Linked DNA regions of Notamacropus eugenii. The protein of the gene in region 2 purifies or fractionates together with the protein of the main gene of each other region. This does not show direct contact. Links are inferred from orthologs where the notes say so. Each region holds a gene or a part of one and is shown on either strand. Other genes may lie near its edges.

Region 1 (11,318 bases), on a different chromosome or scaffold from region 2:
GTTTGTAAACCACTGGTGAGTCCAAAATGTAAATCACGTAAAATCTGATCCTATTTTATAGTGCAGGTTTGAAATGACCTCACAAAATGGTGAACAAAGCACTTTGTAATCCTTAAAATGCTCAACATAAGCTATTCTAGTAGCAATTACACTACCTAGTAGAGTGCTCTAAACAGAGTAGTCCTTTAATAACTGAAAGAATGCATCATCATTAACCCCCCCTCCCCCACAAATTTAACATTTTAAAAGCTAGCTCGCATGATGGTCATTTCCCAGGAAATGTTTCCTAGACTGATAGGGGAGGGGAGGTGGGAAGTAGGGAAGGGAGAGTTGAAGGGCAGTGTCAAAGTGAAAGTAGGGAGAGATAATCCACTGAGTTTCTGAAGCTGAGACTCTCTTACCTCTAAAAGCCCCTTTCAGCTTTAGAATTCCATGACTTAAAGTCAAACATCTTGACAGACTTGATAAACAAAAATAAATTCATTCTGCCATTACCAACTAACTTCATGGCGCAAGTTATGGATTCACAGATAAAAGGATGATTTACATCACTATCTGGTACATAATGAAAATCTATACAGCTAGGTGGCTTGGTAGATAGAACACTGGGCTTCGGAGTCAGGAAGAGTTCAAATCTGTCCTCAGACATTTACTAGCCAAGTGACTCTCAGCAAGTCTCTTAACCTTTAACTTAGTTTCTTCAACTGTAAAATGGGGATAATAACAGTACCTACCTTACCACCTTGTTGTGAGGATCAAATGAAAGAATATTTTTTAAGGGGTTTACCAGTGTTTGACACATAGTAGTTGCTATAGTCTTTCTACCAATTCTCTCTACACACCCCCTCCCATATCGATATACAATGATTACTTTTTTATTTTATGCTGACATCCAACACCATCAAATATTTGATATTATTTAGCGCTATTTCTGCCTAGTTTTCCTTCCAAAAAGGGAAAACATAATATATAATATGTATATATAATATATATCCTCCCCTTGACTCACACCATCCCCCTAAATGTATAAGTGAGATGTTCACTGGGAATTCCAGGTTCAGAGTTACTTGCCTGTGGGGAGAAAACCACATTTGCATATTCTATAATACCTGGTGGAACTAAGTCCAAAGGTAAGGGTTTTTTGCCCAACATTTTCCCTCAAATTCATTTTTGCTAGCTTAGACAGAAGTCTCACTGTTTTTGACCCCTTCTAAATGAAACAAAATACATACGCAATTTTCTTTTACAATTCCAGGGGTATCATAAAACCAGTGAACATCTTTCACTTCTTGAGGTGTCAATTCAACATGCATAGTGGGTGCATCGTGTATTATTCTCGGAGGCTCATTCTCCATGTCAAATGCGAGTGAATCAGCATCAAACTCGAAAGTAGGTTCATCATTTTTTGAATAACAGAATGTTTTTCCAACTCTTCCTACAACAAGAGAGTAGTTTGAAGTTATTGATCTTTAAAATGTTTGAATTTTTACCTTTTATACATGTGCATTCCATTCAGTTTCTACAAAGGGACAAGGGGCAGCTAGGTGGTGCAGCCGATTGAGCACCAGTGCAGGTGTCAGGACGACCTGAGTTCAAATCTCACCTCAGACACTTGACACTCACTAGCTGTGACTTTGGGCAAGTCACTTAACCCTAATTGCCTCATCCTGGGTCATCTCCAGTCATCCTGATGAATGTCTGGTCACTGGATTCATATGGCTCTGGAGGAAAAGTGAGGCTGGTGACCTGCACAGCCCTCCTTCATTCAAAACAAAGTCAAGTGCAAGTCATGTCATTATTTCTCTGATGGCACGGTCTTCTTCGGCAACAAAGGACGAACACACAGACACAGGGACTAAGTCACAGAAATAATGACAGGTAGGTGGATACTTTAGGGCAAGCCATTTAATCTCTTCCCTGGATCTATTTTTCTTCATCTGTAAAATGAGGAGGTCAGACTAAATCCCTTTTTAGCTCTAGATAGAAAATAGTACTATGCAGGAGTTTGGCAGCATATGGCATCAGTACTACAGGATGATAAATGAATTTAGCATAGAATCACAGATTTAGAGCTGGAAGGGACATCCAGAGTCAGTAGGTGGCAGAGGAAAGCGTTAAAGGAATTGAGAAGTCAGCATAAACATTAATATTTTATGTGCAGTTGCATATATAAGAATTCAAACTGAGACTGAGTAGCAATGAAGGATCAGAAACACAACAGCTCTCAGCATAACTTGGCAGCATCACCGATAGCAGGAAAAGGAATCTGAGTCAGTATTTGGGCACAACCTGGAAATGACAATTTTTACTTCTTGGCAAGGCAACTGATTCAACTGACAACCCTACTATGCCACGCCCACTCCCCTCAAGAAACCAGAAACAAATTCTCCTGTTTTTCTGAATGTCTTGCCCAGGTGCGCTTTTAAACAGTAGTTTTAACTACAGCACTGGGTCTCAGAATAGGTAGAGGTTGTCCGGATCATCCTGGGTTCTGATTTCATGTTCCAGGGCACAGGATCTGAAAGGTGGTTAGTCCACGGTCTGTTCGGGTACTCACCGACTAAATAACCCTGCTTTTTCATCTGACTAAGATGCTTCTGCTCTTGCTCAGTAAGGTCATCTTCACTTTTAGCTGCTTCTTCTTTAAGTCTCCTGTTCCTTTCAAACATTCTGTAAGGAGTAGGGTTGCTAATAGGAAATTTCAGGAGATTTAAGGTTGTTCCTGAAAGATCAAAGCACGTGTAAATTTTAACTGTGATGAAGAAAATAAAATGCAATGTATTTTCGTGCAGTCTTAATAAAAACAGAAACAAAAAGCTGCCTGTCTTCCCTTTTCCCAGTGCTTGGTGACTCCAAGCATTCGTCATACTGGCTAGGGAAGACAGGGAGGGTACATTAAGACCCTGAAAACATGGGCTCTGTCTTGCCTCGTGGGGATGCATGAAACCAGTCAAGAAACCTTAAAGAGGAGTAAGGACCCCAGGACCCAAAAGGGGTTGAGCGGAGAAAAGCTGGAGTTCACCAGGATGGTCCCGGACACCTCCTCGTGGGCAGACGAGGAAGCACCTGGACAGCAAGGGCGGGATGGGGGTGGGGAGGAAGCTTCAATTCGCTTCAACCAACGTTCAATAAGCTTAGGCTGCGTGTCAGGCACCGTGCTAGGAGCTAGGGGTAACAAAGAGGCAAGAGACGGCGTCCGCGCTCCGGGAGCTCAGTCTGACGGGGAAGACAACGTGCACACACACAAAGCAAGGACATGGAGGCCGAGCGGGGGGGCAGAGCGTGCGGGAGGCTTCCCGCCGGGGCTCACCCGGCCAGGGGGAGATGGTGGCCCGGTCGATGGCGTCGGCGCCCTTGGCGATGCAGTAGTCCGAGTGCAGGAGCGCGTTGAAGAGCGTGGACTTGCCGGCGTTGGTGGAGCCCACCAGGTAGACGTCGCCCCGGTAGCGCCAGGAGCGCTGCAGCGCCGAGATCATCTCCTCCACCCCGTAGCCCGTCTTGGCGCTGAGAAGCAGCACGTCCTGGACCACACAGCCCGGCCTGGCCGGCCCGGCCCCCGGAGCCCCGGCCCCCGTCCTCTTCGCCTTCCTGGGCGCCGGCTGCAGGCCGGCTCGGGCGCATTCGTCCCACAGACGCTCCCGGAGCCTCCGCAGGTAGCCCGGGCCGTCGGCGGGCAGCAGGTCCACCTTGTTGCCCAGCACGATCAGCTGCTTGGGCCCGAGCAGTGCGGGCAGGTCCGGCAGCAGGGGGTCGGGCAGGTCGAGCACGTCCACCACGTAGAGCACGAGGGCCGGCCCCGGGCGCCGCAGCGCGGCGTGCACCAGCTCTCGGTAGCGCTCCCGGCTCACGCGCACCCGCAGGGCCCGCTGGTGGTGCACCAGGAGCCAGCAGCGCTGACACACGGCCCGGGCCAGCCCGCCCGCCTCGGCCCGCGCCTCCAGGCTGCGGTACTTCTCGCTGGGCAGGTAGCCCGGCACGGCGGGGTCCTGGCAGTGCAGCTCCGCCCCGCAGCCCGAGCAGCTCACGCCGCTGGCCGGCACCGCGGGGTCGGGGCTCCCGAACACCGGGCGCAGCCCCTTCTCCCGCGTCTTCTTCCGCTGCTGCGCCAGCCGCCGCTCGTCCCGCAGCAGCTGCTCCCGCTCCTCCTCCTCCTGCCTCCGCCGCAGTTCGGCCGACACGGACGGCTCGACGTCGGGGTCCGCCTCGGGGACGTACTCCGGGAACACGAAGGTCTCCTCCAGCCGGCTCGGGTCCACCATCGTCCCCGCGGCCGGCACCCCCCTTCCTCTTCTCGCTTCCTGGTCCTGCTGCCGCCGCACCGCGGAGAAGACAGAGGAGGCGGCCGGCCGGCCCGCGGGGGGCCGCGACCCGGGCGCGCCATGGCACGTGAAGAGAGGCGCGGCCCCTCGGCGCCACAGGCGCAGCAGCCGGCACGAGCAGCTCCCGGGAAGCATGGGGACGGAGGCGCCGGGAGGGGCGGGGCGGGCACGTGGCCGCGACACCGCCCCGTACGGTGGCTCGGGAGGGACTGATCGCCCCCCTCCGTCCTCCGCTGGGGAAAAGGCGCTCTCACGTATTAACCTTTCTTCAGTTTGAAAATCATGGCTGGCCATGAACGTAGGGGTAAAATTTAATAAAATTAAAAGCAAAAATTAGAATAAAAAATTCATAAAAGCGCATGTAAAATGGATCAATGTAGGTTCCAGGTTAAGTTAAATTCGTGGTTTTTCGCTTCTATCCTCAGGTCCCCAAAGCGCTTACAATATCGCCACCTAAGCATTAGCATTTCAATCTCTCATTCCTTCCTGCTGAAGCAACAGGCCTAAAGTCACTTTCCTCCCGGCTTTAGGCCTCCTGCCCCCAGACACCTCGGCAGACCTAGATACATTCTTTCCATCTAAAGCACGCTAGGTTGCTGGAGGCGCGAATCCAGCCCGCGCGCAAGCCAGCCCCTACGTAGCCCCGCCTCCTCCGCAGGCCGCATGCGCAGTGGGAAGGCGAAACGGCCCGCCCACTCTGCTCAGCGCCACCACAGGACGCGGCGCGCTCGACCTCTGGCTGAGCGGAAGTCGGAGCGGGAACCGGAAGGTTTCGGAGCTGAGGAGCTGGATCGAGCCGCAAAGAGTGCCGGGAACGCCGGAAACTCAAGCTCTCTCGAGTTTGCTGGTCTGTGGCTGCGTCGTCTGCTCTTTTCTGTTCCTTAATTTGGGAGGAATATTGAGAATTATTTGTCAAGATGTACGACGCGGACGAGGGTAAGAGGCCCAGTTAAGAGCTCCTCCCGGACAGGGCCGAGGAGGGGTGTTTTGTATTCTTTTAGTTACCCACCTTCTCCAGGATGCCACTTGTAACGTTGAGGCCCGGGCAGCCCTGAGGTCCATGATACTTAGTGAATAGAGCTGGCGGTCCTGGTGCTTGTGGGTCTGTTACGCGAGAGGCCAGCCTCGTGTCTCCTAACGTGACGCACCCTCCCGTTTTGCCTTTAGTGGTCACTTTGATTTTATTAATGCATCTTTGTTTTACTTTGCATTCGTCCCTGAATGATGGTCCTTAGGTGTCGTTACCCTAGAGCCCAGCCTAAGGTTTCCTAACCTGTCTGCTCCTCCCTCGCGTTTTTAGTTGTCATCTTAATTTTATTAATGAATTCCTTTTTTTTTTTTAACTTTACATTCGTCCCTGGGTATCGTCCCATCCCTTCGTTACCCAGCGAGACATTCCTTGTAACAGGTTTTAAAAAGCGATTCAGCAGATCGAACGCTTTGTTTGACTGTATAGACAGAATTCTCCACCCCTAGTTCCCCACTAATTGAAGGAAATAGGTGAATTTTTTCACCTCTTTTTAGGGTCTTCTCACGTTTCTATATTAAGTTGCCTTTTCTGTAAAATGAAGGGGTAGGATAAGATGGATTCTAACGTTCCTTCCAGATAGAAGTCTACAGAACTAGGAACATCATGCGTTTTAAAAAAAAATTTTCCCCCAATTACATGTAAAATTTTTAACATTAGTTTTTAAGATTTGGAGTTTCAAATTCTCTCCCTCCCACTCCTCTCCCCTCCCCAAGACAGCAAGCAGTTTGATATAGGTTATATAGGTTTAACCTCTATGTGTTATATGTGGTTATGTTTGAAATGTATGTATGTGTTATGTACAGTAATGCAAAACATTTTCATAACATTTATGTAATGAAAGAAAATACAGACCTCCCCTCCCCACAAAAAAATAAAGTAAAAAATAATGTATTTCAGTCTGCTTTCAGACTCAGTTCTTTCTCTGGAGGTGGATAGGATTTTTCATCCAAAGTCCTTCAGAATTGTCTTGGATTTTTAAATTGATGGGAATAGCTAAGCCATTCACGATTTATCATCATTCAGTATTGCTGTTACTGTGTACAGAGTTCTGGTTTTGCTCACTTCATCCGCTTTCCATCAGTTCTCATAAGTCCAAGTTTTTCTGAAAGCATTCTGCACATCGTTTATTGCAGTACAATATTCCATCACATTCATATACCACAGCTTGTTCAACCATTCCTCAGTTGTGGGGTAACCCCTCGATTTCCAATTCTTTGCCACCATAAAAAGAGCTGCTGTAAGTGTTTTTGTACATATATGTCCTTTTCCATTATTAAAAATAACATCTTTGGTATGCAAACCTAGTAGATCTATTACTGGGTCAAAAGATATGCACAGTTTTATGACCCTTTGGGCATAGTTCCAAATTGCTTTCCAGAATGTTTGAAAAAGTTCACGATGCCACCAGCAGTGCAGCGGTGTCCCAGTTTTCTGACCTCCCTACCAGCATTTTGTCATTTTCCTTTTCTGTCATATTAACTAATCTGATAGATGTGAACCAGTATCTCAAGAGTTTTAATTTGCCTTTCTCTAGTTAACAGTGATTTAGAGCACTTCTTTTGTGTGACTATCGATAGCTTTGATTTCTTCATCTGAAAACTGCCTGTTCATATCCTTCGACCATTTATCAAATGGGGAATGACTTATGTTCTTGTAGATTTGATTCAGTTCTCTATATATTTGAGAAATGAGACCATTATCAGAGAAAATTGCTCAAATATTTTTAGGAACATCATTCTTGAACAACATTCACTTGAGGTTTTTTTGTCCTTTTTGTATTTTCACAGTGCTGTACTTTGTTTTCCTGGTTCTGCTTGATGCACACAACGCCATTTTACATGTCTTCCCATCCTCTGAATTTGTATTTTGTCTTTTATAAAAGGTTCAGTCATTTTGTTCTCTTCATGTGTGTAATTTTTTAGCCATTCCTCGGTTGATAGGTATTAATTTCTTTTCCAGTTCTTTCTCATCTGATCTCATCATTTAGCTTTGTTACCATTGTGCTTACCTACCCTCATTCTCCCTTCTTGGTATTTTGCAAATGCATGAAAGAAGAAAAAAGGAATTGTTATATCTTAAGAATTGGGGATATAGATAGAAATAATGAGGCAGACCCTGTTCTCAAGGAATTTAAACTTTATTTGGGGTAGATAACACATCTGCAAATTCAGCTTTGGGGTGATTGGAAGGGCCAAGAAGTCCCAAAGGTGCATCAGCAGATGGATGATGGCAAAGCCTGGGGTGCTTAGGCTGCTCCAGCAGGTCAGATTAGAGTCACCAAGGAGTTCGGAAGATGTAGCAGCAGGATAGATAGCAAGGCCATCTTACCACAAAACTTTGATTAATGAAAAAGCATTTAGTGTTTAATGTGTGCTAATACTGTGGCAAGATCTGTGAATATAAATTCAAAAATCTGAGAAAGACCCTGTAGTTACTGGTCTTATATTCTAATAGGGGATGATAACACATATAGGGGACTGATGTCCATGGAAGGGAGTCACAGGAATTGTGAATTGATTGATTAGGGAGTCATTTTACATACCCTTCCCAGAAGCCCTAGTATTATTGATTTGAAATTTAAAGCTAGTTTTTGGTTTTTTTTTTTACTAGTCTTTCTCCCTATCCTAATCACCATTCCTCCTCACACCTCTGGGATAACGTTGTCATTAACATGAAATCTTTATATTTTCACTCTGCAAGACATCTTTCGTGATACTTTTGAGCATGTTAGGCGAACATGTCTCCTTATGTTATACTTTCTTGATTAAAATTAAGGTAAACTGAGCCACAAAGCACCAAGCACACTCAACTTATTAGCAAAGCGTGAATTTTCCAGTAAACAAAGGCTCAACCTTTTCAGTTAGCTAAGACCTTGAACGAGGGCTGATAAAATTTTTATGGACAAAAGGAGGAGCCTCCAAAAACTAGAAGACTGGCAACATCATAGTGAAAACAATGTTAAATGCTGTAAATTTGGAATGCAAAAACCCTTCCTTTCATAGCGTTGCTAAGGAAAGTTCATTGGTGGTGTCCACTTGTATGGCTAATTGGTTTCACAGTGATAACAAACCAGACTTTTTTGAAGGACAGCCAGTGCTATAGAGGTAATAGACCAGACTCCCTGGCATCCACCTTCATCCTTCAAAGATAATTATTATCCTTGACATAAGAATAGAACAGTGATTTGATTAGCAGGAAAGCTGAACTTCTAACCTTAACTCAGAGATAGTGAGTGATTTATAGGAAAGCTGAACTTCCAAACTTAACTCAGACTCAAATGAAATGTGGCTTAGGTAGTTACACAAAATGTTGGTAGTGATACAGAATGAAATCAATTACAAAAGTGAATCAGTTTGATTTTCTTGATTTTCAGTACTTCATTTGATTTTGCCATTTAGTGGCTTATTGAGTAATGTTATCCTTAGTTACATTGATCGTATATTCATGTGTGATTTAATATACACATGGGAGACACCTTTCTGAGGAGGGCCTTTGTGCTACCTTTGGTATAACTTAGGCAAAATTTTCTTTTAAATCAGTAACACAATAGAGCCTTAAAGTTTTCTACACTTTTTCATTAGTTGTATGACCTTAAAGATGTAATGGAAAAGGTAATCTGAATTGTGTAACATTAAAGGTGTACTGTAGAAAATAATGTTTTGCATGAGAACTTTTCATTCAGGAAAGTATATACTATTTTCACACAATGATTGATGTTATCTTTAAAACTTTTCTTCAGGTTGTGTAATCATTGTAATGTTTTTCATTCTTTTTGAATGTTTTTTTCCAAGAGATAAAGAATCAGCACAGATTTCTTTTGTATATGAAATTAAGTCTAGCACGTTTTCCTGACTTAACCTTTTTTTAAAGTATCATTACCACTTATTCAAATACTACATTGAGTATTAATGTGGTGGGTTTAAATATCATATTCCACTGTTGTCGAAGTTAAAAAATGGCTGCATTTCTGCTTCATTTTGTGTTTTGGAAATCATAATATCATAGAGCTGGAAGGGCCTCTTCAAGGTCATCTGGTCCAAGTCCTTTATTTTTACAAATGAGGAAACTGAGACTCAGAAAAGTTAAGTGACTTGCCAAAAAACACATAGGTCCTAACTACACTTTTGCAATTGCTTCCAAATTAGTTTCTCTTTTCCCAGTTTCTCCCATCATCCCTCTATATAACTAACTTAACAAAATCGTCTTTATAAATCTAATCATTTCAGTCCTCTGCTCAAAAAGTTTTTGTGGTTCCCTGTTGTCTCTAAGACAAAATACAAACTTTAGTCTGCTGTGTAAAACATTTACTATCTGGATCTTACCTTCTTTTTCAGTACTATTTCATTCTTCAACAAGATGCTGTATTCTATCAAAACAGATCTGCTTGCTGCTCCTTAACCTCAGCACTCTATCTTTGGTGTCTGTGTATTTCCACAGGCAACATGTATACCAAGTTGATTTGAGACCGTGGGCTGTTTGGCTTTGTAGCCACAGTGCCTTCTACACAAAGATCAGAGAGGGACATTGCTTTAGGACCGTTTAGTATTGCTGCATCTTGGAAGTTGAGATGTTTTCTGAAGGCTCGTTTTCTTTACGCTGTTTTGTGAGTGATACTGCTCATAGCATTTGTACGCCATAATGTCTTACAGATGAGTTTGTACTCAGTTAAACTGGTGTTGTTTTTAGAGGCTGTGTAATTGCAACACCTCATCCTTCCTACCTTGGATCAGCTGCTTTCTGGGCTCTTTTGGACTGCCTAATTCATGACACTTTGACATAGGCTTGTTTGTTTAGGTCAGGTTGAAGTTGCTATAATGGTACAGTGTTTTCTCATCTTTATCCTTTTAAGTTAATATTTATTGTGATCTTCTAATCATTTAATGGTCTGACTGTAGATACAGTAGTAATTTTAGAATTAGTTTATATAAGAATTAGTCTTTATGTAGCCACAGTTCTTTCCAGTCTAGCCAGGCTGGCTTTTTTGCTGTTCCTCACAAAGTATTCCATCTGCCATACTTGTGCCATGTACAGACTGTCTCCTATGCCTGAAATACACTCTCTCCTCACCTTTCCCTCTTAGAAGCCCTAGTTTCTACAAAACCAGACCTTCGATGCTAGCTCCTACATGAAACCTCTCCTAATTTTTCTCCTTTGTCTAATGAAATGTCTTATTTTTGGTGTATACTTATATTTGTTTATGTTGTCTCCTCCATCAGAAGGTCATTCAGTAAACCATAAAACATTTGTAAAGTACCTACTATGTACCCTGTGGTAAGTTCTGGATACAAAAAGAGGCAAAAGACAATCCCTGTCCTCCAAGTTTCTTGGTGCATAAGGACTGTTTTCTTGATCTTTGTATCCCCGGTGCTTAGCACAGTACCTGACATAGAGTAATTAGTAGTAGTTATCAGTAATTACATGTTGATTGATTCCTGTCATATTGTTATGTTGCCATGTAACGTTTTCTACATCCAGCATTGTACGGTTGTCTTCCTGAAGAAATGTTCATAATATATAGACATATAATTTTTGGGTAGGAAGCAAGTCCTTGGCTACTTTCATTTCATTCTTGATTAATTTATAAATGAATGTTAAAAACACAAACCTTTAGTGAGTTGAGGATTATTTGTATATGATATGAGTGTGAGAGTGCATGCATGTTGTTTTATTAAGGGAATTGGCTTAGAAAATCAAGAAAAAAAGTTTAGGTCCCCTCCCCCAATTTAGCACTCTTTAAACTTTTGAGTTCCAAATTCTCTCCTGCCTGTCCCCTCCCCCACCCAGTGAGAAGTCAAGCAGTATGTAATCAGTTATACATGTAAAATTCTGCAAAGGATTTCCATATCAGCCATTTTTCACAAAAGCAAGAAAAATAAGGAAAATGAGAAAATTATACATCAGTTTGCATTTAGAGTTCATCACTTCTCTCTCTGGAAGTGGATAGCATTTTTTCATCATGAATTCTTTGG
Region 2 (11,039 bases):
GACAAGTGACTTGTTCAGAGTCAGATAGTTAAGTGTCTGAGGCCAGATTTGAACTCACAAAGATGAGTCTTCCTGACTCTAGGCCTAACACTTTATACACTGTACTATCTAGCTACCCCTACATTCTACTAGAGGGATGTCAAAATATTTTGGAAACACCCTGTTTCCCAAGAGTAAGGCCCAGCAAGCAGTCTATGCCCTGAGCTTGGCACAGCAACAATGTTTTGTGCTCTGGATGATCTCACCCTCTAGTAAAGTATATTGCTTTGACCAAGCACCAGGTGTTCACTGCCCCCTACTGCCCAGGGACCTGACAGCCATCCAGACCCTTGCTTGACTTGCTCACAATCGCTGTTCTTGTAACAGCTAAGTGAACCGAATCTGGTACTATACACCAACGTGAGACAATCAACTTAGAGACTGTTCCTAAAGGACCCAAGAATGCCTGCATTGTCCACCCATGAGTCTGCCATGGGAAACTGCTATTCAACACCTAAGAATGATTATGTCATAGTCCGGCCCGCTTACATATATAAGCATAGCCTGTACCCCAACATGTTAAGCCCTCCAACTTGGGGGGGTGGGGGTTTCCTTGTTTACAAGTCATTTTCCTCACTCTGAAATAAATTATACCACTTATCTGTGTCCTGACACACCTGCCTCTAGTCTGCTCTGTTCACTTCTCGCCATTCCCAGATTAGGGATCGGTCCAGTCAAAATTCTGTTGACAGGAACATGATAAAGAAATGGAGGCAGGAATGACCATGACATAGGGAGAGGACAGTAAGACCAGCTGGATCAAAGAAGTGGGTACACGTTGGGGAATAATGAAAAACGCTGAGGTAGAGGTAAAATAGGACCCAATTACAAGGGGCTTTGAAAGCACAGTGCCTGGCACATAGTAAGCATTACAAAAATGCCAGCTATCATCATCATCATTCTATGGGGAGAACGAGCTTAACTGAACCATCACCATTACCTTTTTTGCCATGAAATCGAGAGGAAACCGCCACCTTCATCTGCTGGAATTCTTGCAGTTTCACAACATCATCTCTAAGCAGATAGCGTTTTCCTAAAAGTTTGAGAGGAAAATAAAACAGCAAAGGAATTTGTGGGCAACATTGTTCATCGGCAATTGCACAGCATGTTACGTTTCCAAAGCTCTTCATCCATCATCTCCCCTACCTTTACAGCCAGGGTAAATACAAATTATTCTCATTTTACTGATGATGGAGCTGAGGTAAGTTATTCAGAGTTACAAAGTTTATTCAGTCACCAAATTGGCTTGAAGCTTGGTTTTCTGGTTCCTATCCAGCATTTTCCCACTTCCATTCCCCATGGTGAGTCCCTGAGAGTTACTTTCCTACTCCAGCTGGGCTAGCCATCTCCAGATGAGACCAAATCCCATGCAAACACGGATGAAAGAAAAAAGACACAAAACCTTCTGTGTGCATTTCTTTAGTGACAATCGCCAATAATTCTGGCAGATGGTTATTTGGAACAGACAATCTGTGGCAAGAAAAAATCAGGCATCTGAAAATAATGCTGTAAGCGATCAGAGAGAAGGGATCAATTGAGGCCAACTTCTGAACTTTTTTCCTGTTTTTTTCTTTTTTTGGTCTGTGTTTTCTTTTTCAGTCATGCAAAACATATTTCCACATTGTCTATGTTGCAAGAGAAAATAGACCAAAAAAAGAAAAAGAAAAAACAGGAAAAATAAAGTGAAAAATGTATGCTTCCATCTGTACTCAGACTTCCATCAGTTCCTTCTCTGGAGGTAGATAGCATTTTTCATCATAAATCCTTCAGAATTGTCTCACACGCTGAGAACAACTAAGTCATTCACAGTGGGTCAGTCATCGTACAGTACTGCCGTTACTGTACACGATGTCCTGCTCACCTCACTTTGCATCAGTTCATATAAGTCTTCCCAGGTTTTTCTGAAATACTGAATTACTAGCCTGCCTCAAGTGTCTCCTCATTCCTGTTTATCCTCCACTTAGTTATCAAAGTGATCTTCCTAAAGCAAAATCCTGACCAGATCACACCATGTTGATGTTCAGTTGTTTCACTCATCTCCAACTCTTTGTGACCTCGTTTGGGGTTTTCCTGGAAAAAAAAACTGGACTGGTTTATCATTTCCTTCTCCAGCTCATTTTGAGAAAATTGAGGCCATCGGGGTCAAGTGACTTGGCTAGAGTCACCCAGCTAGTAAGTGTCTGAGACCAGATTTGAAGGTATTTGAAGGAGGCTTACTGTCTACTGTACCACCTAGCTGCCCCAGCTCACAACACATACCCCATTCAATAAACTCAATTCCCTCTCACTTTCAGGATCAAATAAAACACTATGTCTGGTGTTCAAAACTCTTTATATCCTGGCCCCCTCCGCTTTTCCAATCTTCTCACACCCCTACTTCCTTCCAGGGATAATGTGATCCAGTGACACTGGCCTCTTGGCCAAGGCACTCCAATCTCTCCAAAAATCTCACTCCTGCAAGTGTTTTCATCCCACAGCTGGGCTGTTTTCACTCCTTATCCCTGCCTCTTGGGTTCCTTTAAGCCCCTCCTCCAAATTCACCTCTACCGACTTTCCCAGGCCCCCTTAATGCCAGTGTCTTCCCTCTGTTGATTATTTCCAGTCTATCCTGGATATATCTTGTTCATATATAGATGTTTCCATGGTGTCTCCCCTTTTAGGCTGTGAGCTGGGGGACAGGAATTGCTTCTGACTTTTTCTGTATCCTTAGTAAAGTGCTTGACACATAGTAGGTGTTTAATAACTGCTTCTAGACCTCTTCTCCTTTTTCCTTTCCATTTTTCTTCCGCCTCTCTCTTCCTGCTTTCCCTTTCTCTTTTTGCTTTCCTCCTTAGGAAGCAGTGGAAAGGGTTAACTGGTTGCCACAGGACCAGAGCTCAAATCTGGTTGTGCCATTTACCAAACATATGACATCTGATGAGTCACCTGACTTTTCAAGTACTATTTTCTCAAAAAAAAAAAAATTATAAATTGAAGGAATTGGAATAGTTGGCTTATGGGGTCTCTTTCAACTCTAGAGAACACTAGAGGTGACGATTCTTGTCATTCTCCATCTAGATTTTGTGATATGGTTTGGTGGGCTATTCACCAAACAGCCATATATAATCCTCAAAATTTGATCATTTCTAAACTGTACTGTCCAGTAATATAGTGTATGTGTAAAGCAAACACACAGGTATCTAACAGTCACCGAGAAAACACATCAGGCCTTAGGACCTTACCTCTGTTAAAAAAAAAAAATTACCATTTTAGTGTAATTTGACATTTTGCTTTCTCTGCTTAGGGAATTTTAAAATTTTAGGGACAATATGTAACAATAAGCCCATGATATTATGAGAATCAGACAAGCTAACTCTAAGCCCTGAGGTAGGATCACCTATGAGTCAGGTATGAGTACATCAATGTTGTCTTATTTTCACAAAAAGGGACTGTGAAAAAATATACTGTACGACATTCAATCTTCTCACCCAAAGACATAAATGAGCAGGAAGCCAAAAAGCAAACTGACTTTATGTACCTTATTCCTTCGTACCACTGGCTCTCTTCATCTCTTGCCCCAGCCAATTCCAAGAGCCTCGTAACTGGTCTCCCTAGATCAAGGCTCTTCCCTCTCCTGCTCCTAGCTAACCACCTCGCTGCCTTGAAAGGAGGATTTTGGGGGTCATTTTCAAGAGCTTGTGTGATGCTCATGGATTTGGAATTGAGACCATGGAGGTTACCTGCTCCAATTCCTCCTATCCACAAACGAGGACACTGAGGCTGAAACCCAGCATGGAGGGGACCTCCAAAGGCCCAGGGGCACATCCTCTACACCACAGCCAAAATAATTTTCCTAAACCAGTTGCAAATGTGTCTCCACCTGCCTAACCCTCTCTCTAACTCAATAAACTTTCCTTGTTTTGGCAGTATAGACCTTTACGAACCGACTTGTCTCCAACTTAGCTTCCCATGTCCTGTGGTACAAATAAACTGGTATTCTGGCTGTCCTTCATACGCAGCCTCTAGACACAGCACAGGCTACCCACGCTTGAAATGTATGTCCTCCTTACCTGCATTTCCTAGAAGCCTAGATTCCTTCATATCATTTTCTACAATAGGACTTTCTTAATCACCTCCATTGCTAGAGCACAACTCCCCAAATCACCGAGCCTTCATTTTGTATATATCTGATGAGCCTCTCCAAACCCAGCTATAATGGTCAGGAACCAGGCCTTTACTCCAAGCCTTCCAGGGTGGGTGGGTCAGAGCATGAGCTACAATGGCAGAACCTTTGAAAGGAGCCCAGGTTCCTTCTACAAGGTAATGAGGAAGAAGAACTGGGGACCAGTAGAGGTAGTCTGGTAAACTTGGTTGATACTTATCAGTTCTCTATTTGGGGTTCCTTGGATGGAGGAGGGGAGGGAGGTGTAATGAAGCCGCAAAACAGAGCAGAGGCGATGAGATCTTTTCTATAGAATTCTTAGATCTGTCTAGTGGCAAAATGTCATACGTAAGAAGGACTGGAAAGATCTTAGTCAAAAGAGAAGACTGTAGTGCAAACAAGCCCTAGACTTGGAGTTAGAAGATCTGGTTTTGAGTCCATGTCAAGTCAATTATTGGTGCAGTGGATCGAGGGCCACAGTCATGAGGATGAGAGTTCAAACCTGGCCTCTGACACTTTACTACCTGGGTGACCCTGGGCAAGTCACTTAATTCTGTTTGCCTCAGTATCCTCATTTGTAAAATGAGTTGGAGAAGGAAATGGCAAACCACTCCAGTATCTCTGCCAAGAAAACTCCAAACGGGGTCACCAGGAATTGGACACAACTAAACATCCTCATTTATTAGATATTCCCTTGGCAAATTGTCTAACCTGCAAAATGGGAAAAATACTTGTACTCTCCACCTCTACAGTTCCTTATACAAACACCAACAGTTAGGAAGCCAGGTGTACCAGAGAGAAAAATGGATGTAGAGTCCTAAGAGCTGACTGAATACAGCTGAGCTAGTTACCACAGGGTGATCTTGGGCAAGCTAGGGGTCTCTAGGCCTCCATTTCTCAGCTGGAAAATGAGCAGACGTTCTCTCCCATCCTTTCCTGCCATAAATCCTTAGAGGCCATCAAAGGTGGCATTGTTGGGGTTCTCCAGAGTCAGAGGACCTGTGGTCAAGTCCCAGTTCTGCCACACATCTGTGGATGATGCTGGGCATCTCCATAAGTCATTTACCTTCTCTTAGCCTGTTTCCTCATCTGCGGATGAAGGAGTTTGTACTAGACTTCTAAGGTCCGTCCCTTCCAACTTTAAATCAATAAGCACCACACAAGCTCTTGAAAATTCCCCGTCCCCCCATCCTCCTTTAACTAAGTGGATCTATCCAAGTTTTGTGACCCTGGACAAGCCACAACCTCAGTTTCTTCAGCTGTAAAAAGGGGATAATTAAACAGCACTCTCACGGTTGTTGTGAGGATCCAATGGGATATTTGCCAAGCGCTCAGTGTATATGTGTGTGTACCTATATATACGTATTATATGTATACATCCTCCTTTCCCTCCACGTGGAAAAAAAATGTTACCATAGCCTATGTATACAAGTTCCCCCTAGAAAAGGTCCATGGGGTCACTAGAGGTGGTTTACCTAACTCAAGGATTTGCATCTTTATCAATCAATTAACATGAAGTACCTACTAAGTGCCAGGGGCTTAGGTGTTAAGCAAGCGCCAGGATACAAAAAAGGGCAAAAAAACTTCCCCTGCCCTCAAAGAGCTTACAACTTCACGGGGGGAGATGGTATGCAAACAAACATATACGAAGCAAACTATATTTTGCCATCCGTCCTTGGGCTCATAGATTTCTCCGGATTTAAAAGGGGGCCCTCGGAGCCTTGCCCAGACCCGTCAGGGCACCTCAGGGCACCACCCCCCCGGGGCCTAGGAGTCACTTCGAGACCGATCTGGGGCTGCAGCAAACGCCCGGGCACTTTCCGGGCCTTCCTGGGAGGACTCCGGCCGTTCAGAGAGGTTCGATCGGCGTCCGCACCTCGCGGGGAGGGGGCGGGGGACAGGAGGTTACTTTGTAACAAGTGTCGGCCCCAACTCCGCTCTACCCCAGGCCCAACCCTCCCGCGTCCCGAGGACAGAAGCCGCGCGCAGAGCCGCGGGTACCTCCGAGGGCCCAGCCGGGCGCGAGCCCCAGCAGCACGCCGCGGGTCGCGGAACGGGGCCCGGTGGCCAGCAGGATTCTATTCGAACTTCGAGACACAGCGGCCATTCTGACGCCACCCCCACGCTCTCCTCCGGACCGTACCAAGTGCAGGAAGTAGGGAGGAGCTGCCGCCTCCGAGCCACACCCACCCTCTTCTCCCTCGGCACCTCTGGAGGGCCGGAGGACGTAGAGGAAGAGACAGGAAAACCCTACGGTAGGGCTCCTGCGCTGGCCTTATACTTGGTACGTTCCATGATGGCGGCGCCCGTAGTGCGGCACGGGTGGCTCCTGGCCCGGAATGTGGCTCGGTCTCAGTGTTTCCTGGCAGGTTGGTGGTGGCTATTTCCTCGGCGGGGGGTGGTTGCTGCCTTTAGGCCTCCCCGAGGGCCAACTGCGGAGCTGGCACGAGGAGAGGTTGGGCCAGGAGAGCAGGAGGAGGCGAGGTTGGGGTGCCAGAAGAGGTGTTTGGGCAGTGTGCGTGTGTGCGTGTCATGGGGGAATGTCTCCGAGCCCCCTCCCCCGACACAGTGAAATTCACCAGGTGCGCTGCTCCGGGAGGACTCCGCAGCCCAGGCTGCGCTGGGAGCCAGCTGCACTGAACTGCTTAAATGTCTTAGTGTGCTTTCCTGGAGACGTTACATTAACCTTGGGTGGATCATCGTCATGGCCCCCTGCCCAGGTAGCCGTTTACCTGGCTTGCTTGGACCGCCCTTTTATCCTCTCTTTGATTTCTGTTTTTAAAACCCGGAGTTTCCGCCTTTATGAGAAGGGGGCGGAGTATTAATCATCAATCCTGCGGTACCTGACCTTGGCCAAGCCTTCTCCTTGACCTTTCCTCGATACAATGTTTCTGCCTGTGCCAGACGAATCACAGTTACATTAGTATCATCATTTGGAGAGGTGTAATGGACAGAGGAAGGCTAGAATAAACCATTTACGTGTCCACATTTTTTTTTTGTAAGTAATTAGGCAGCTTAAATTTGTAACAAATTTAGTCCTCATGTCATCCTTATCAGAACGTCTGATTTAGGATGGAAACCATCCATTTCATTTTCTCTCAGTGTCATCCAATATCAGTTGACCTCTCCCTTTCCTTTCCACTCTGGGAAGAGCTATTTTGTCCTAGTTTAGAATTCTAGAATAAACTGAAGTTCGTTGAGGATCCAGCACATAGAGTTATAGCTTTATCAGAAGGGTGCTGGGTAACCCCTTCTTAACTCCAGTGCTTTCCTTTTTTTAATTATTTCCTATTTATGGAGAGTTTCCAGCTGACAGAATTCAAACAAAGAAAACTAAAAATGGTATTTGAAGTTCCATCTCAAGTCTACTCATCTAACTACTTTATCCTTTCACCTGACATCCTACCCTATACCCCAGGTAAATTCTCTGGTGGTTTTTGCTGCAGTATCTTAGGGCCTTTTTTATACCCACAAAATATTTGCTAGCAGTCATCATTAAACATTTAATGAAGTTATTCATTCATTCATTCAATAAACATTAAGTGCCTATTATGCCTTCAGTGGACATATTATGGCTCTAAGCATAGTAATTCATATGTTCTTATGTTAATAATACATTAGTGTTCTATTGGCATCTCACATTTAGTGTCCAAAACAGCACCTATTATCTTTCCCCTAAAACTATCCATCTTCACTATATCGATTAAGGATATCACTGTCATCAGTCATCCCAGTACAAAACCTGGGAGTCACCTTTGACTCCTAAATCTCTCTCTGTCTGTCTTATCAGTGGCTAAAATTTGACCTCCTCATCATCTCTAGCATTGGTCCCTTTCTATCTCCTCCCATTACAACCACCTCAGTTCTGGCCCTCTTCAGCTGTAGCCTGGACAATTATAGTAATCTCCTAATGGATCTCCCTGGATCCATTTTGTTCCCTCTCCACCCAACTGCTGAATTGATGTTTCTAAAGTGTAGATCTGAGCATTATTTCATTTCTTTTCTCAGTAATAAGCTTCAGTGGCTATCCATTGCCATTTGAATAAAATACATACTTCTCTGTTTGGCATTAAAAGCCCTTCATGGCTCCAGCCCTTATTTCCAAGTTGCTCACTCTTAATATGCACTACTCTTCCTCACTCTGTATGTGCCAACCAAACCAGCCAACTTGCTGTTCTCTGTATATGACAGATACAAAATTTCATATCCTGCCTCTGTGACTTTGTACAAGTTGCCCTTCTTGCCTGGTATTCTTTCCTCCATAACCTCTATGTCTTAGAACCCCTAGCTCTTTCCAGTGCTTTCCTCGTTATTTCCTAATTTTCCCAGTTATTAGTGTCTTCTACCAAATATCTGTGTATTTTGCTTCGGTGTTATATGTACTTCCCTGTAAATGTGTGGCATCCTCCTGGTAGAGCAGCAGCTCCTTGAGGGTAGGGACTTTGACACTTTTATATTCGTATCCCCAGCTCGGTGCCTGGAGGAGAGCAGTTGCTTAATAAATGCTAATTGATTGTTCTTAAGATATCTTCTGGTCTGTTCTTTACTGGCTAGCAGAATCATAGACTCTCAGAATAAGATGAAATCTCAAAAGGTCATCTAATGCAGTCCATGCCTGCACAGGAATTTCTGCTGTAATATCCTCAACCAAGTTTTCATTCATTTTCTGCTTGATGACCTCCAGTGAAGGGAATTCATCAGCCCATAAGTCAATCTGTTCCATTTTTGGATAATCATTAGTCAGTTTTTCTTTCCAGCCTAAGCCTGCCTCTGAACACTTTATTCCTTGTTCCTAGTTTTGGCCCTGGATCTAAGTGAAACAAACACAACCTCTCTTCTATAGGATGGCCCTTCAAATGCTTGAAAACAGTCCTCATGTTTCCTTCTAAGTCTTCTGTTCCTTCCAGCCAGCATTCTTCTCACCCTCGCTGCCATCCTGTGGACTCAACTCTCGCTTACTAATGCCATTTCCATGTGTACCATACTCCAGAGGCAGACTTTTTTGTTTTCAATACTGTTTTTTCCCCCAATTACATGACAAGACAATTTTTTAGTATTCATTTTTACAAGATTTGGAGTTCCAAAATTTTTTCCCTCCCTTCCCCATTCGAGGCAGTCTTAACATAATAGAGTTCAATAGGAGCATCATCTCCTTTGTTCCAGACACTTATATTAATATGTCCCAAAATCAAACTAGCTTTTTGGGGCTGTTACATCCTACCATTGACTCATTTTGAACCTATGGTCCAGTACAACTCCTGCATTGGAACTATTCCAAAAAGATGAGAATGTATTCTATTTTTTTTACATTTATTAAGATTTTTATTTATCATGAAACATATTAATGTTTTAAAAATTACTAAGTGGTAAGAGTTTTAAAACTCTTTTTCAAGTTTTCTTACTGTTTACATTTAGTAATGACTAAAAACGTAGTAAAGAGATATGACTCTTATACCTCTCAGATTAAAGACAGACTGGTTGGTTGCTTTGGGGCATGTGACCAATAAGAAAGAATACACGATGACAACCCACTCATCAAGTTAGGAGAAGAGCACAGTAGTGACTAGTGGGAGTAAGGTTAAGTGGGACATAGGCAAAACATTTGTTTGATCTTTACATTCTACATTTTTGCCAGCTACCCAGAATCCAATGTATTCCATTTTTAAGACCTTTAGAAAAAAGAAAACTCCTTCCCTTTCCAGTGTTTATCATTTGCTACTGTCAGAAATTTCTTCTATTTGTCAAACTTAAATTACTCCTTAAATTTTTGTCTTTCCTTTATATGGAGTGGAAAACAACTGGTTACGGTCCTTTTATGTTTGCAATCCTTTCGTATCCCATGTAGATTATTAAATCATTTCCCTTCTGTCAAGTTAATAACCCCCGTTTATATAGTTCTTAGGAGGCCATGCGCACCTCATCAACCACTTCTGCCTATGGATTGGGTATGTATAGCTCCAATTCACCAATTTTGTCCTTAGGTTGATTTTTGGAACCCATGTACAAGACTTTACATTTTATCCCCATTATGTTTCATCTTTACTCATTTTGATCCCAAACTGTCCTGTTGAGAATTTTTTGGAGTGTGTCTCTGTCCACTGTTAGCTACTAGTGTTGTTCATTCATTTCAGTCATGCCTGACTCTGTGACCCTATGTGGGGTTTTCTTGGCAAGGATGGAGGAGTAGTTTGCCATTTTCTTCTCCAGCTCATTTTACAGATAAGGAACTGAGGCAAACAGGGTGAAGTGACTTGCTCAGGGTCACATAGCTAGTAAATATCTGAGACTGGATTTGAACTCAGGTCCTCCTGATGCCAGGCCCAGTGCTCTATCGACTGTGCTAATGGCTGGCTGCCATTGCCTACCACTAGCTTTCAGCTTTGTGTTACCCAAAAGTGTGATAGCTCTGCCCTCTGTGCCTTTATCCAAATCACTGATAAATATGTTGAACCCCACAGGGCCAGGTACAGATCTCTGAGGCACTCCGCTAGAGATTTGGCATCAAACCATTAATGACTTTTGGAGTTCCAACTATTTAATCATTTCTGAATTTACCTAACTATGCATTTGTCCAGCCTCCATCTCTTCTTTTGTCCACTAGAGTAGTGTGAAGAACTTTGGCATATAGTTTGCTGATGTCTAGATAAATTACATAGCAGTCCTCAATCTATCAATCTTGTAACACTGTCGGTCAATCAGCATTTTTTAAGCTCCTCTTACAGACCAATCTCTGTGATAGGTGCGGGGGATAGAGAAACAGTTCCTGCCTAACTTATATATATAAAAATGTAACAAAAAAGAACATTATCTCTGTAGAGAAGAAAATTAAAACCAAAGGTTTAGAGTGTAGAAACAGAAA

What was found.
Region 1: the proteins of MRPS27 (region 2) and NOA1 purify together in Homo sapiens (co-immunoprecipitation; 3 studies listed by BioGRID and IntAct, counting the BioPlex papers as one, with this or other methods). This does not show direct contact. The link is inferred for Notamacropus eugenii from reciprocal best matches to the Homo sapiens genes MRPS27 and NOA1.

What each region holds. Positions count from the first base shown.
Region 1 is NC_092877.1:108,359,058-108,370,375, forward strand, and holds the start of NOA1 (nitric oxide-associated protein 1), read right to left. Parts: upstream 4,723-11,318; 5' UTR 4,614-4,722; coding exon 3,311-4,613; intron 2,723-3,310; coding exon 2,558-2,722; intron 1,436-2,557; coding exon 1,233-1,435; intron 1-1,232. Other genes in the region: POLR2B (DNA-directed RNA polymerase II subunit RPB2), read left to right, coding at 5,237-5,255. UniProt on the Homo sapiens protein: Involved in regulation of mitochondrial protein translation and respiration. Plays a role in mitochondria-mediated cell death. May act as a scaffolding protein or stabilizer of respiratory chain supercomplexes. Binds GTP.
Region 2 is NC_092875.1:464,717,626-464,728,664, reverse strand, and holds the start of MRPS27 (small ribosomal subunit protein mS27), read left to right. Parts: upstream 1-6,445; 5' UTR 6,446-6,473; coding exon 6,474-6,549; intron 6,550-11,039. Other genes in the region: PTCD2 (pentatricopeptide repeat-containing protein 2, mitochondrial), read right to left, coding at 980-1,072, 6,182-6,287. UniProt on the Homo sapiens protein: RNA-binding component of the mitochondrial small ribosomal subunit (mt-SSU) that plays a role in mitochondrial protein synthesis. Stimulates mitochondrial mRNA translation of subunit components of the mitochondrial electron transport chain.